Anolis sagrei: one gene and its partner. The protein of the gene in region 2 binds, or shares a complex with, the protein of the main gene of each other region. Links are inferred from orthologs where the notes say so. Each region holds a gene or a part of one and is shown on either strand. Other genes may lie near its edges.

Region 1 (7,370 bases), on a different chromosome or scaffold from region 2:
CTGTTAGCCTATTGTAGCACTGTTCTTAATTCCGGGTCCCCTCATATTTTTGAGTTTACACTAGCCTTGGCCCGGCCTTTTAACTGCTCTGAACAGGCAGGATTATTTTATAATATACATGTGTTATTGTGATAATTTTATGCTAATTTGTTTTGTTAATTTTATGTCATGCTGTTTACTCTGTATGTTTTGGTGATCTTACTTGGAAACCACCCTGAGCCCTCCTCGGGGAGATAGAGCAGTATATAAATAAAGTTTATTGTTGTTGCTGTTGTTGTCTGCATTGATAATCCTTCTACACTGCCATATAAAATCCAGATTGACTGCTTTGAACTGGATTATATGGCAGTGTTGACTCATATAATCCAGTTCAAAGCATATAATGAGGCTTATCTAGTTTGATAATCTGGATTATATGCCTCACACACTTCAAGTATCATCCCTGTTTGCTTGATGCTGCCTTTCTGCACCTTTTCCAATACACACAGAGAGCATGCATCTGTGGGCCCTTCCACACAGCCCTATATCCCAGAATATCAAAGCAGGAAATCCCACATCATCTGACTCCGATAACCCAGTTCAAAGCAGATGTTGTGGAATTTTCTGCCTTGATATTCTGGGATATAGGGCTGTGTGGAAGGGCCCTATATTGTGGAATATAGGGCCCACTTTAGCCACTACAGCTCAAGGCTATGATTTGGCCAAGGTGGTCCACGCCTTGGTTACATCCAAACTGGACTATTGCAATGCGCTCTATGTGGGGTTGCCCTTGAAGACGGCCCGGAAGTTTGAACTGGTACAGCGGGTGGCTGCCAGGCTCCTTACTGGAGCAAACTATAGGGAGCATACAACACCCCTCTTAAAACAGCTTCATTGGCTGTCGATAAGTTGCTGAGCCAAACTCAAGGTGCAGGTCATGACCTATAAAGCCCTAAACAGTTCGGGCCCTGCCTATCTCTGCGATCGCATCTCCTTCTGGTTCGGGCCCCAGAATGAACAGCCACAGACCCATACCTAATATTATTTTTGCCTGCCATAGCATTGCACTTAATTCCCGGGCAAGAATTTTTGGGCTTGCACAAATCTTGGCCCGGCCTTTTAAATTTTTAATTGCCTTGAACATCGAAGATTACTTTTAATATATGTGTGTTATGGTGACAATTTTTATGCTTATATTTTGTTTGATAATCTTATGGTTATGTTGTTTTTACTCTGTATGTTTTGTGATGTTACCTGGGAACTGCTCTGAGTCCCCTTGGGGAGATAAAGCGGTATATAAATAAAGTTTATTATTTATTTATTTATTTATTTCAGTTACTTTTACCCCGCCCTTCTCAAACCCCAAGGGGGGGACTCAGGGCGGCTTACAAAAAAGGCACAATTCGATGCCTACATAGAGTACATGTACATATAAAAACAGCAATCAACATTTATCACAATTAAACAATCAATATATAACACAATCACTAAAAACTAATCACAAGCTCAGCGTGCGTCTTTCAGAGTTCCATAATTCCATTCTATTTGTCAATTCCAGTCTATCGCCACGTCCTTTTTCATCTGCCAGGTTGTCCAAATGCCTGATCCCAAATCCCTGTTGTCAGTTTTTTTCTGAAGGAAAGAAGGGATGTTGCCGATCTAATTTCCCCCGGGAGTGAATTCCACAGGTGAGGGGCCACCACCAAGAAGGCCCTGCTTCTCGTCCCCGCCAATCTCACTTGTGATAGAGGTAGGGTCGAGAGCAAGGCCTCCCCAGAAGATCTTAGATTCCGAGGTGGGACGTAGAAGGAGAGCCGTTCGGACAGATACACTGGGCCGGAACCATATAGGGTTTTGTAGGTCAAAACCAGCACTTTGAATTGTGCTCGGAATTGGATTGGCAGCCAGTGGAGCTGACATAACAGGGGGTGGTATGCTCCTTGTATGACGCTCCGGTGAGCAGTCTGGTTGCCTCCCACTGGACTAATTGAAGTTTCTGAACAGTCTTCAAAGGCAACCCCACGTAGAGTGCATTGCAGTAATCTAACCGGGATGTAACAAGAGCGTGGACCACCGTGGCCAGATCCGACTTCCCAAGGTACGGGCGCAGCTGGCGCACAAGTTTTAATTGTGCGAAAGCTCTCCCGGCCACCGCCACGACCTGGGGTTCCAGGCTCAGCGATGAGTCCAGGATCACTTCCAAACCTGCTTTGAATATCTGCTTTGAACTGAGTTATTGTAGTCGACACTGGCATATAATCCACTTCAAAGCAGATAATGTGGAGTTTTATACAGATGTGGAAAGGGGCCCTTGTCAAACTACATTTCTCAAGATCCCACAGCATTGAGCCAAGGCAGTGAAAAGTGGTGCCAAAGTGCATCAATTCAACAATGCAGATGCACCCTTAGAGACATAACTCTGGGCGGTTTGGAGTGCAGATCCCACCTATGAGGGGCCATTCCTGGAAAAGGCGGGGTTTTGCCTTGTGCAAGGAGGACTCCTCAGGGTTGGGCGGCCCCTTACTCTCAGGAAAAGGGCGGTGCTGGAAATCTGGCAAGAAGGAGCCCCACCTCCTGCTTTTTGTGCAAAATCCGATCCCCCTCCTCCTCCCAAAAAGAATCATAGCAGAGCCCTTGCCCTCCAGTACTCACCATATTACAAATGGAGGCGATGTTTCTGACAGTCATGAGTCTAAAGGTTGCAGCGATCCCCCACCGCCATCTTTATGAGGTGAAACCCGAAACGGTCATGGTTGGGGGAAGGGGGGGGGGGAGGAAGAGGAGGAGGAAAGAGAGACAGGGGCAGGAGGAAAGCTCTAGCTTGGGGATCCGAGGATCAGACGGCGGGAAGAGAGAGAGAGAGAGGGATGAGCCAAGCCTCCAGCCCTTCCTTCTCTGCCTTTGCCGGCTGCTCCTTCCTCTCTCTCCACTGCGCCGCCTCCCTAGCCCTCTCCTTATTTGCTGAACCGATCGCCTAGATCTACAGGGATCCGCTGTGTCCTGGCTAGGACTGGACTACTACTAATCCCCCTCTCCCGCTTCCTCTTCTTCTCCTTCCTCTTCCTCCTCCTCCTCTTCCCTTCTCTCCATCGCCGAGCAGCGCCCCAGTGATCAACTTTGACAGCGGCATTGAAAACAAGGGAAGGTCAATCCCCGCGAGTGGCGTGGCCGGCAACCAACCGCTTGGCCCAATTGGAGGGAGGCAGCCAATGGGGAGGCGCGGAAGGCCAAAGGGGATGGTCCCACCCACTGGGGCACCCAAGAGGAGAAGAGTTTTAGGGGGAAAGGGACCTTGGCCTGGGTTTGGCTTGAGTTCCTCCAGAAAAAATAATAATTAAGGCTTCTTCTACAATTACATCTAATGAGGCCTTGCCACTTGATGCCTGCTGTCTGTTGACAACGTTTGCCCTGTTGCAGGAGACCCCAAATTGTCTTAGGCCAGTGATGGGCAACCTTTTGAGCTTGGTGTGTTAAAATTCGCCCAAAAACTGAGTATAACTCAGGTGGGGTGTCACTATGAGAAACAAACCATAATTTCACAATATTTATAGTTTACTAGCCGTCCCCTGCCACGCTTTGCTGTGGCCCACATGGGAGTTCTGTGTGGGATGTTTGGCCCAATTCTATCGTTGGTGAGGTTCAGAATGCTCTTTGATTGCAGGTGAACTATAAATCCCAGCAACTACAATTCCCAAATGTCAAGATTCTATTTTCCCCAAAGTCCACCAGTTACGTAGGTGAATTCCCCTCCCATCTGAGGGATGGCTGATCAACAGGGGGAGAGCTCCATATTGATACCAACAGCTGCCTACCAGTAAGTGGGATTTGGGAGACTTTCAAGGTCCCCAAAAGGCACTACATCAAGATCATGAATACATGGCAGTTATGACTATTTAATTGTAGGGGCCCTTCCACACAGCACTATATCCCAGAATATCAAGACAGAAAATCCCACAATATCTGCTTTGAACTTGCTGCCGATCCAGTTCCGAGCACAATTCAAAGTGCTGGTTTTGACCTATAAAACCCTATACGGTTCCAGCCCAGTGTACCTGTCCAAACGTAGCTCTTTCTATGTCTCATCTTGGAGCTTAAGATCTTCTGGGGAGGCCCTGCTCTCGGCCCCACCTCTGTCTCAAACGGGCTTGGTGGGGACAAGGAACAGGGCCTTCTTGGTGGTGGCCCCCACCTGTGGAATTCACTCCCCAGGGAAATTAGGTTATCTTCATCCCTCCTCTCCTTTAGAAAGAAATTAAAAACATGGATGTGGGACCAGGCATTTGAGTAACTATGCGGACAATGGCAATGATGACAATGACTATGATAATGGACTATGGATAAGTTTGATGGAGTCTCCAACCACAGAATTCAGCTAGATAATGGCCACTAGACTGGTATTGTTAGCAGTTTTTAATTATATTGACTTAATGTTTTAACTATATATAATTATTGGCTTTTGTTATGTATTTTATTATGTGTACATAGAGCAGCATTTCTCAACCTGGGGGTCAGGACCCCTGGGGGGGTCGTGAGGGGGCATCAGAGGAGTCGCCAAAGACCATCAGAAAACACAGTATTTTCTGTTGGTCATGGGGGTTCTGTGTGCCCAGTTCTATTGTTAGTGGAGTTCAGAATACTCTTTGATTATAGGTGAACTATAAATCCCAGTAACTACAACTCCCAAAGGTCAAGGTCTATTTTCCCCAAATTTCACTAATGTTCACATTTGGGGATATTGAGTATTCGTGCCAAGTTTGGTCCAGATCCATCACTGTTTGAGTCCAAAGTGCTCTCTGGATGTAGGTGAACTACAACTCCAAAACCAAAGGGCACTGCCCACCAAAGCCTTCCAGTATTTTCTGTTGTGCCAAGTTTGGTTCAATTCCATAGTTGGTGGGGTTCAGAATGCTCTGTGATTGTAGGTGAACTATTTATTATTTATCGTGTCATCAGCAACCATTGTATTACAATTCTAACAGAGCAGAACAAAACACTGAGATTAAAAAGAAAAAGAAAAAAAACCACACAGATTTTGCGAATTTGGTAGTTGGTTAAATGTCCTTTGACCAGTATCTGGCCACTTGGAGTGCCTCTGGGGTTGCCGCAAGAAGGTCCTTCATCGTGCATGTGGCAGGGCTCAGGTTGCATTGCAGCAGGTGGTCAGTGGTTTGCTTCTCTCCACACTCGTATGTCGTGGATTCCACTTTGTAGCCCCATTTCTTAAGATTAGTTCTGCATCTTGTGGTGCCAGAGCGCAGTCTGTTCAGCGCCTTCCAAGTTGCCCAGTCTTCTGTGTGCCCAGGGGGGAGTCTCTCATTTGGTATCAGCCACTGGTTGAGGTTCTGGGTTTGAGCCTGCCACTTTTGGACTCTCGCTTGCTGAGGTGTTCCAGCGAATGTCTCTGTAGATCTTAGAAAACTATTTCTTGATTTAAGTCATTGACATGCTGGCTGATGCCCAAACAAGCTGGAGATGTCACTGCCTTTGGTCCTTTCACTATTGGCTGCCACTTTCCGGCGGATGTCAGGTGGTGCAATACCAGCTAAACAGTGTAATTTCTCCAGTGGTGGAAGGCGCAGATACCCTGTGATAATGCAGCATGTCTCATTAAGAGCCACATCCACTGTTTTAGTGTGGTGAGATGTGTTCTGCACTGGGCATGCATACTCAGCAGCAGAGTAGCATAGCGCAAGAGCAGATGTCTTCACTGTATCTGGTTGTGATCCTCAGGTTGTTCCATTCAGCTTTCGTATAAGAAGTTTCTGGGCTGTATGATCGTGTTCTAGAAGCATTTTCTCCTGATATTTCACTTGCATCTGTGGCTGGCATCTTCAGTGCAGAACACAAAACATCAGAAGAAAATGCTGCTGGAAAACGGCCATACAGTCCTGAAACCACACAACACCCTCATTGTGAATTATTGTGAAAAAGAACTTCCAAATGAGTGTATGTAATAAGACTACAAATCTGCAATTCTTTTTTCCCCCATTCTTCTTTCAGAAGAGGACATTGCCTATTACCCATGCCACTAACCCATTATCAATTGATATCCAACTTCCAAGACACCGGCTTCCAAAGCATTGTGAGCTCTTCACAGATCTATTTTATTGACATGGGGGAGGGCTAGGCATGGCATCACAACAAAGTCAGACTTTCCAGAGCATTGTGGAAAATTACATTTGTAATTCTCATCACCTTCGAAGTTTGACTATTGCTGCTGTCATATAACCTCAAAAAAATCTTCTGACCTTCAAGAGGGAGCCAACAGAAACAATCTTGCCCAAGGTCCATTTAGACATGGATCTTGTTGTTGTTCATTTGTTCAGTCGTCTCCGACTCTTCGTGACCTCATGGACCAGTCCACGCCAGAGCTCCCTGTCGGCCGTCACCACCCCCAGCTCCTTCAAGGTCAGTCCAGTCACTTTGAGGATGCCATCCATCCATCTTGTCCTTGGTCGGCCCCTCTTCCTTTTGCCTTCCACTTTCCCCAGCATAATTGTCTTCTCTAGGCCTTGCTGTCTCCTCATGATGTGGCCAAATTACTTCAACTTTGTCTCTAGTATCCTTCCCTCCAATGAGCAGTCGGGCTTTATTTCCTGGAGGATGGACTGGTTGGATCTTCTCGCAGTCCAAGGCACTCTCAGAACTTTCCTCCAACACCACAGCTCAAAAGCATCTATCTTCCTTCGCTCAGCCTTCCCTAAGGTCTAGCTCTCACATCCGTAGGTTACTACAGGGAATACCATGGCTTTGACTAGGCAGATCTTTGTTGCCAGTCTGATGTCTCTACTCTTTACTATTTTATCGAGACTGGACATTGCTCTCCTCCCAAGAAGTAAGCGTCTAGAAATACAAAGTCTGTCACGGCCTCCACGTTTTCTCCCTCTATTTCCCAGTTGTCAATCATTCTTGTTGCCATAATCTTGGTTTTTTTTTTTTAATGTTTAGCTGCAACCCAGCTTTTGCGGTTTCTTCTTTCACCTTGATTAGAAGGCTCCTCAGCTCCTCCTCGCTTTCGGCCATCAGAGTGGTGTCATCTGCATATCTGAGGTTGTTAATGTTTCTTCCAGCAATTTTCACCCCGGCTTTGCATTCATCAAGCCCCGCACATCGCATGATGAGTTCTGCATACAAGTTAAAAAGGTTGGGTGAGAGGATGCAGCCTTGCCGTACGCCTTTCCCAATCTTGAACCAGTCTGTTGTTCCGTGGTCAGTTCTGACTGTTGCTACTTGGTCCTTGTACAGATTCCTCAGGAGAGAGACAAGGTGGCTTGGGATGCCCATCCCACCAAGAACTTGCCACAGTTTATTATGATCCACACAGTCAAAGGCTTTAGAATAGTCAATGAAGCAAAAATAGATGTTTTTCTGAAACTCCCTGCCTTTCTCCA
Region 2 (7,991 bases):
CGGCAGCTTGGGCGTCCCCCAAGACTCATCGCTAACGCTTGAAGCTCAGACGTCAGCGGTGGCGGGGAGGGCCTTCCCACAATTAAAACTTGTGCACCAGCTCGTGAAGTCAGATCTGATCATGGTGGTCCATGCCTTAGTCACCTCCAGACTGGATTACTGCAATGAACTCTACGTGGTGCTGCCCTTGAAGACGGCTCGGAAATTTTAATTGGTTTAACAGGCTGCAGTCAGGCTCCTAACTGGAGTGACTTACAGAGAGTGGTTAACCCCTGTTTAAGGAGCTCCATTGGCTGCCCTTCATTTCCGGTCCCAATTCAAGGTGCAGGTTCTTACCGACAAAGCCTTGAACGATTTGGGACCCGTCTACCTATGCGACCACATTTCTGTTTATGTACCCACGCGATCTCTTTGTTCATCTGCGGAGGCCCTGCTCTCGCTCCCACCCTCTTCGCAGGCCTGATTGGTGGAGACGAGGGAGAGGGCCTTCTCTATGGTGGCCCCCCGACTCTGGAATTCTCTACCTAAAGATATCAGACAAGCTCCCACCTTGGCAGTCTTTAGGAGGAGATTGAAAACATGGCTGTTCCAGTGTGCCTTCTCTGAATGAAGAAAATAATGCCCGATCTGACCAATTTCCTTCCATATGTCCTCTGAAGCACTTTATCTATCTGTTGGATTGATTCCTCCCATATCACTCTTTAAAACCCCCCATGCCTAGACATACCCTACTCTGTACACATCCAGGGTTTTAAAATTTTAATCTACATCTGGTCTTGCAATAATGCTTTTAAATCTTTTGTGTGCTATTGCTTATATGTTTAACTGTATTATTTATATTGTTTTATTTGCTTGCTTGTTTATTGATGTATTATTGTATTTGTATTTGACGGGCTTGTCCTCATGTAAGCCGCCCTGAGTCCCTTCGGGGAGATGGTGGCGGAGTATAAATAAATATTATTATTATTATTATTATTATTATTATTATTATTATTATTACTAGTTGTCCTCTGCCATGCAGGTGCAATTGGTGGGGACGAGGGAGAGGGCTTTCACTATGGTGGCCTCCCGACTCTGGAACTCTCTACCTAAAGTTATCAGACAAGCTCCCACCTTGGCAGTCTTTAGGAGGAGATTGAAAACGTGGCTGTTCCAGTGTGCCTTCCCTGAATGAAGGAAATAATGCTTGATCTGACCAATTTCCTTCCATATGTCCTCTGAAGCACTTTATCTATCCGTTGGATTGATCCCCCCATATCACTCTTTAAAACCCCCCATGCCTAGACATACCCTACTCTGTACACACCCAGGATTTTAAAATTTTAATCTACATCTGGCCTTGCAATAATGCTTTTAAATCTTTTGTGTGCTATTGCTTATATGTTTAACTGCATTATTTATATTGTTTTATTTGCTTGTTTGTTTGTTGATGTATTGTTGTATTTGTATTTGATGGGCTTGTCCTCATGTAAGCCGCCCTGAGTCCCTTCGGGGAGATGGTGGCAAGGTATAAATAAAGTATTATTATTATTATTATCATTATCATTATTATCAGCTGTCCCCTGCCACACGTTGCTGTGGCCCAGTCTGTATATAAGTGTTTTGTGTGTGTGTGTGTGTATATATGTGTTTGCGTGTATATAATATATATATATATATATATATATATATATGTGGGTGTATATATGTGTGTGCATATGTGTATGTGAAGATGTGTATATGTGCATATATATTTGTGTGTTTATATGTAGATATGTATATTGTGTATATGTGTGATTGTCTATATGCATATTTGTGTTTATATATGTGTGCATGTGTATATTTGTGTGTGCATGTGTACATGAGTGTGTGTGCGTGTGTGTGTATATATATATGTGTGTGTGTATATGTATGTATGTGTGTGTATATATATATATATATGGATATAAGCACTTTATCTATCTGGATTGATCCCCCCATATCACTCTTTAAAACCCTCCCATGCGTAGACATACCCTACTCTGTTCACACCCAGGGTTTTGAAATTTTAATCTACATCTGGGTTTGTAATAATGCTTTAAAATCTTTTGTGTGCTATTGCTTATATGTTTAACTGTATTATTTATATTGTTTTATTTGCTTGCTTGTTTGTTGATGTATTGTTGTATTTGTATTTGACGGGCTTGTCCTCGTGTATGTGTGTGTATATATATGTGTGTGGGGGACCCGTTGGGGACCCCTCCCCCCCAGCACCAACTGCCGCTCTGGGCCAGAGCGAAGAAAGAGGGGCCAGGGGACAGTTCCACCTTGTCTCCTGTGCTATTCTAATAATATGTTATAATATAATATATTGTATATACATATAATATTTATAATATTGTAATGTAATGCAATATAATACTAGTAATTGTTTTTAAATGCATAATGATTTTGTATTCTGTATATCTAAACTGTTGTAAACCGCTCTGAGTGGCTTAAGGGCTGAGAAGAGCGGTATACAAATAAAGTAAATAAATAAAATATGGATATGGATACACACACACACACATATATGGTATATTTTTGGGTTTTTTAAGTCAGTTCTGCTAGGAGTTTTGTTGGTTTTTGTAATTTTTGGGGTGATGAACACTCATTGCCCTTCATTTAGGGCTGTACTGTCCAAATTGTACTGTTTGTTAGGGCTGTACTGTCCAAATTTGGTGTCAATTCCCCCAGTGGTTTCTGAGTTCTGTTAATCCTACAAACCAGCATTACATTTGTATTTATATAGATTAAGGTTGAAAGGAGGAGGAGAAGGAGGAAGAGGAGCGAGGGAGAGAGGCAGGATGCTGAGGGAAGTTCTCCCGTTGCCACGGACAACGGAGGCCCCTGGGTCTTCCCGCCAAGCCGCCTCCCTCCTCTCCTCCTCCTCCCCGCACCTTGGCCCTCTTCCCCCTTCTCCTTCCTCCTCAGGGTCCAGGAGCCGGGCCTCGACCCTCCTAACCCTCGCCTCCCCCCCTCCGCCCTCGCCGGCCCTTCCTTTCGCCTCCCTCACCTGTACTTTCCGCCGCCCGGCCGTGTTCTGCCTGTGATGAGCCGCCATCTTGCATGTTGACACTCCGTCGTCATTTCCGGGTGGGGGGGAGGGGGGAGGAGGAGAGGCGTCCGCCGGCCCGGAAGTCCCGCCCCCGCTTGGTCTGGCTCTGCCTGTCAAGGGCTTCCCCTCTGTTCCTCAAACAAGCAGGCGGGAAGAAAGGGGCGTGGCTCCTGAGGGGTTGCTATGGCAGCCGTTATTACGAGCGGGCGCGGGGTTTTGCTTTTTCCCGTTTCTCTCTCTCTGTCTCTCGCGAGACTTGACTAGTGGCAGTTGAGTTTCCTGACTCAACAGAGCAAGTAGTCTGCCAAAGGTTGCTGTATCACAACAGCTCTAGTCAATGGGAAATGTTAATGACAGAAAGCTCAATAATAACTTCAATCTAGCTATCTATATACATAAAAATGTAATGTAAATAAAAACAGCAAAAACATCTTAATACCTCTCCACAAAAGATTCCCCCAGGCTCAGCCAGGCCTTCAAATGCTAATGAAGGTGGTCAGTTGAAACATTCACACCTAGCTCGGGCACATCTTAATACCTCTCCACAAAAGATTCCCCCAGGCTCAGCCTGGCCTTCAAATGCTAATGAAGGTGGTCAGTTGAAACATTCACACCTAGCTCGGGCACATCTTAATACCTCTCCACAAAAGATTCCCCCAGGCTCAGCCAGGCCTTCAAATGCTAATGAAGGTGATCACTTGATACATTCACACCTAGCTCGGGCACATCTTAATACCTCTCAACAAAAGATTCCCCCAGGCTCAGCCTGGCCTTCAAATGCTAATGAAGGTGGTCAGTTGAAACATTCACACCTAGCTCAGGCACATCTTAATACCTCTCCACAAAAGATTCCCCCAGGCTCAGCCAGGCCTTCAAATGCTAATGAAGGTGGTCACTTGAAACATTCACACCTAGCTCGGGCACATCTTAATACCTCTCCACAAAAGATTCCCCCAGGCTCAGCCAGGCCTTCAAATGCTAATGAAGGTGGTCACTTGAAACATTCACACCTAGCTCGGGCACATCTTAATACCTCTCCACAAAAGATTCCCTCAGGCTCAGCCAGGCCTTCAAATGCTAATGAAGGTGGTCAGTTGAAACATTCACACCTAGCTCGGGCACATCTTAATACCTCTCCACAAAAGATTCTCCCAGGCTCAGCCAGGTCTTCAAATGCTAATGAAGGTGGTCAGTTGAAACATTCACACCTAGCTCGAGCAGAGAAGAGCCCTTTGTCCCACCCTGGTCATTCCACAGATATATAAACCCATTTTCCAAATTCCAACAGACCTCACTACCTCTGAGGAGGCTTGCCATAGATGCAGGCGAAACGTCAGGAGAGAATGCCTCTAGAACATGGCCATACAGCCCGAAAAAACCTACAACAACCCGGTGATTCCGGCCATGAAAGCCTTCGACAATACAATGTAATGTTTGTTTGTGGGATTAACAGAACTCAAAAACCACTGGACGAATTGACACCAAGTTTGGACATAAGTCACCTAACAACCCAATGTATGTCCTTCACTAAAAAAAAAAAAATCTGATTTTGTCATTTGGGAGTTGTAGTTGTTGGGATTTATAGTTCACCTACAATCAAAGAGCATTCTGAATCCCACCAACGATGGATCTGGACCAAACTCTACAAGAATACTCAATAGGCCCAAATGTGAACACTGGTGGAGTTTGGGGAAATAGACGTTGACATTTGGGAGTTGTAGTTACTAGGATTTATAGTTCACCTACAATCAAAGAGCATTCTGAACCCCACCAATGATGGAATTCAACCAAACTTAGCACACAGGGCTCCCATGACCAACAGAAAAGACTGGAAGGGTTTGGTGGGTAGTGTCCTTTGGTTTTGGAGTTGTAGATCACCTACACCCAGAGAGCACTGTGGACTCAAACAACGATGGATCTGGACCAAACTTGGCACAAATATTCCATATGCCTAAATATGAACACAGATGGGAGTTTGGAAGAAATAGACCTTGACATTTGGGGGTTGTAGTTACTGGGATTTATAGTTCACCTACAATCAAAGAGCATTCTGAACTCCACCAATAATGGAATTGAACCAAACTTGGCATACAAGACTCCCATGACCAACAGAAAACATTAGAAGGGTTTGGTGGGCATTGACCTTGAGTTTGGGAGTTGTAACCCCAGCATTATTTTCAATTTTAATTCTACATTTGGCCTTCCCACATTTTTAATTGTGTGCTGTCTTATTGTTAATGTTGCATATCTTATTGTCCATGTTTTTTTTATTTTAATTGCTTGTATTGTTGTCATTATTGCGTGTATTGTATTTGGGCTCGGCCTCATGTAAGCCGCACCGAGTCCCTTGGAGAGATGGTAGCGAGGCACAAATAAAGTGTTGTTGTTGTTATTATTATTATTATTATTATTAGTTCATCTACATCCAGAGAACACTGTGGACTCAAACAATGATGGATCTGGAACAAACTTGGCACAAATATTCCATATGCCCAAATATGAACATGGAGTTTGAGGAAAATAGACGTCAACATTTGGGAGTTGTAGTTACTGGGATTTATAGTTCACCTACAATCAAAGAGCATTCTGAACTCCACCAATAATGGAATTGAACCAAACTTGGCATACAAGACTCCCATGACCAACAGAAAACATTAGAAGGGTTTGGTGGGCATTGACTTTGAGTTTGGGAGTTGTAACCCCAGCATTATTTTCAATTTTAATTCTACATTTGGCCTTCCCACATTTTTAATTGTGTGCTGTCTTATTGTTAATGTTGCATATCTTATTGTCCATGTTTTTTTTATTTTAATTGCTTGTATTGTTGTCATTATTGCGTGTATTGTATTTGGGCTCGGCCTCATGTAAGCCGCACCGAGTCCCTTGGAGAGATGGTAGCGAGGCACAAATAAAGTGTTGTTGTTGTTATTATTATTATTATTATTATTATTAGTTCATCTACATCCAGAGAACACTGTGGACTCAAACAATGATGGATCTGGAACAAACTTGGCACAAATATTCCATATGCCCAAATATGAACATGGAGTTTGAGGAAAATAGACGTCAACATTTGGGAGTTGTAGTTACTGGGATTTATAGTTCACCTACAATCAAAGAGCATTCTGAACCCCACCAATGGTGGAATTGGGGCAAACTTCCCACACAGAACCCCCATGACCAACAGAAAATACTTAAAGTCATTCAGTCCAACTCCCTTCACCAGGGCATGAAAACGTAGTCAAAGCCCTCCCGACAAAGAGCCATCCAGCCATAGATAGAGATAGATATATATGATTCACACACAGAGAAACAATAACATAGATTTGAAAGGGACCCCTAAAGAAGGACAATTATATGTTGCATGTCCCAGAGTAGGCAAACCAGACAATCTCCACATAAACACTGACAGAGAAACAGCAAGAAATACTGTTTGCCAACAAGCAGAAAGAATCATAGAATCATAGAATCAAAGAGTTGGAAGAGACCTCATGGGCCATCCAGTCCAACCCCCTTTCAAGAAGCAGGAATATTGCATTCAAATCACCCCTGACAGATGGCCATCCAGCCTCTGCTTTAAAGCCTCCAAAGAAGGAGCCTCCACCACACTCCGGGGCAGAGAGTTCCACTGCTGAACGGCTCTCACAGTCAGGAAGTTCTTCCTCACCAGACTGGGCCACAGCAATGCCTGACAGGGGGTGGCTAGTCTATATAAATAAAAATGTAATGTTTGTTTGTGGGATTAACAGAACTCAAAAACCACTGGATGAATTGCCACCAAATTTGGCCACAAGACACCTACTAACCCAAGAAGTGACCATTACTCAAAAAAATTTATTTTATCTTTTGGGAGTTGTAGTTGCTGGGATTTATAGTTCACCTACAATCAAAGAGCATTCTGAACTCCACCAATAATGGAATTGAACCAAACTTGGCATACAAGACTCCCATGACCAACAGAAAACACTAGAAGGGTTTGGTGGGCATTGACCTTGAGTTTGGGAGTTGTAGTTCATCTACATCCAGAGAACACTGTGGACTCAAACTATTATGGATCTGGAACAAACTTGGCACAAATATTCCATATGCTCAAATATGAACATGGAGTTTGGGGAAAATAGACGTTGACATTTGGGAGTTGTAGTTACTGGGATTTATAGTTCACCTACAATCCGAGCATTCTGAACACTACGAACAACAGACTTGGGCCAGACTTCCCAAACAGAACCCCATGACCAACAGAAAATACTTAAGGCCATCCAGCCCAACTCCCTTCACCAGGACAAGAAAACGTAATCAAAGCCCTCCTGACAAAGAGCCATCCAGCCATAGATATATATATAGAGATATGATCCACACACACACAGATATAGTATCAGAGATTTGAAAGGGACCCCTAAAGAAGGACAATGATATGTTGCATGTTCCAGAGTGGGCAAACCAGACACTCTCCACATCAACACTGACAAAGAAACAACAAGAAATACGGTTTACCCACAAGCAGAAAGACATTACATATATTCGAAATCAACACTTTCTCATTACTTTATTTTCCAGATCACCAGACTGGGCCACAGCAACACGTGGCAGGGGGCAGCTAGACTTCCATATAAATAAAATGTAATGTTTGTTTGTGGGATTAACAGAACTCAAAAACCACTGGACGAATTGACACCAAATTCGGACAGAAGACACCCAATAACCCACTGTATGTGTTGCATCCCAGTTCAAGAAACAAGACCATAAGATTAAATCCACCACTCTGGACTGTAGGAAAAGCAATCCTTGTTTATTGATGAAAAATTGGTTACAAAAGAAAGGTAAATGCAGAGTAAAAAAAAACACAGAAAAACACCGGAGTCAATAGGATCTCTGAACTTGAGCAAAACTTCAAAAGCCACAAAACAATAACCAAGAGTCTGTTAGCCTTTTACTA

The links.
Region 1: the proteins of WDR48 (region 2) and USP46 are in contact, whole or in part, in a crystal structure (PDB 6JLQ), measured with the Homo sapiens proteins. The link is inferred for Anolis sagrei from reciprocal best matches to the Homo sapiens genes WDR48 and USP46. Residues at the interface, in NP_065890.1 of Homo sapiens: Arg50, Trp77, Asp118, Tyr119, Lys121, Leu137, Arg139, Ser170, Tyr172, Thr188, Asp211, Asn212, Lys214, Ser230, Gly254, Trp256, Arg272, Ile364, Leu424, Lys425, Gly521; in NP_073743.2 of Homo sapiens: Arg181, Leu183, Asn184, Cys185, Glu186, Thr187, Cys222, Ser223, Glu224, Lys226, Cys232, Cys233, Ser234, Lys235, Gln236, Glu237, Gln239.

Annotation. Positions count from the first base shown.
Region 1 is NC_090025.1:75,293,830-75,301,199, reverse strand, and holds the start of USP46 (ubiquitin carboxyl-terminal hydrolase 46), read right to left. Parts: upstream 3,148-7,370; 5' UTR 2,668-3,147; coding exon 2,632-2,667; exon of another isoform or gene 2,619-2,631; intron 1-2,618. UniProt on the Homo sapiens protein: Deubiquitinating enzyme that plays a role in behavior, possibly by regulating GABA action. May act by mediating the deubiquitination of GAD1/GAD67.
Region 2 is NC_090026.1:123,937,754-123,945,744, reverse strand, and holds the start of WDR48 (WD repeat-containing protein 48), read right to left. Parts: upstream 3,110-7,991; 5' UTR 3,062-3,109; coding exon 3,014-3,061; intron 1-3,013. UniProt on the Homo sapiens protein: Regulator of deubiquitinating complexes, which acts as a strong activator of USP1, USP12 and USP46. Enhances the USP1-mediated deubiquitination of FANCD2; USP1 being almost inactive by itself.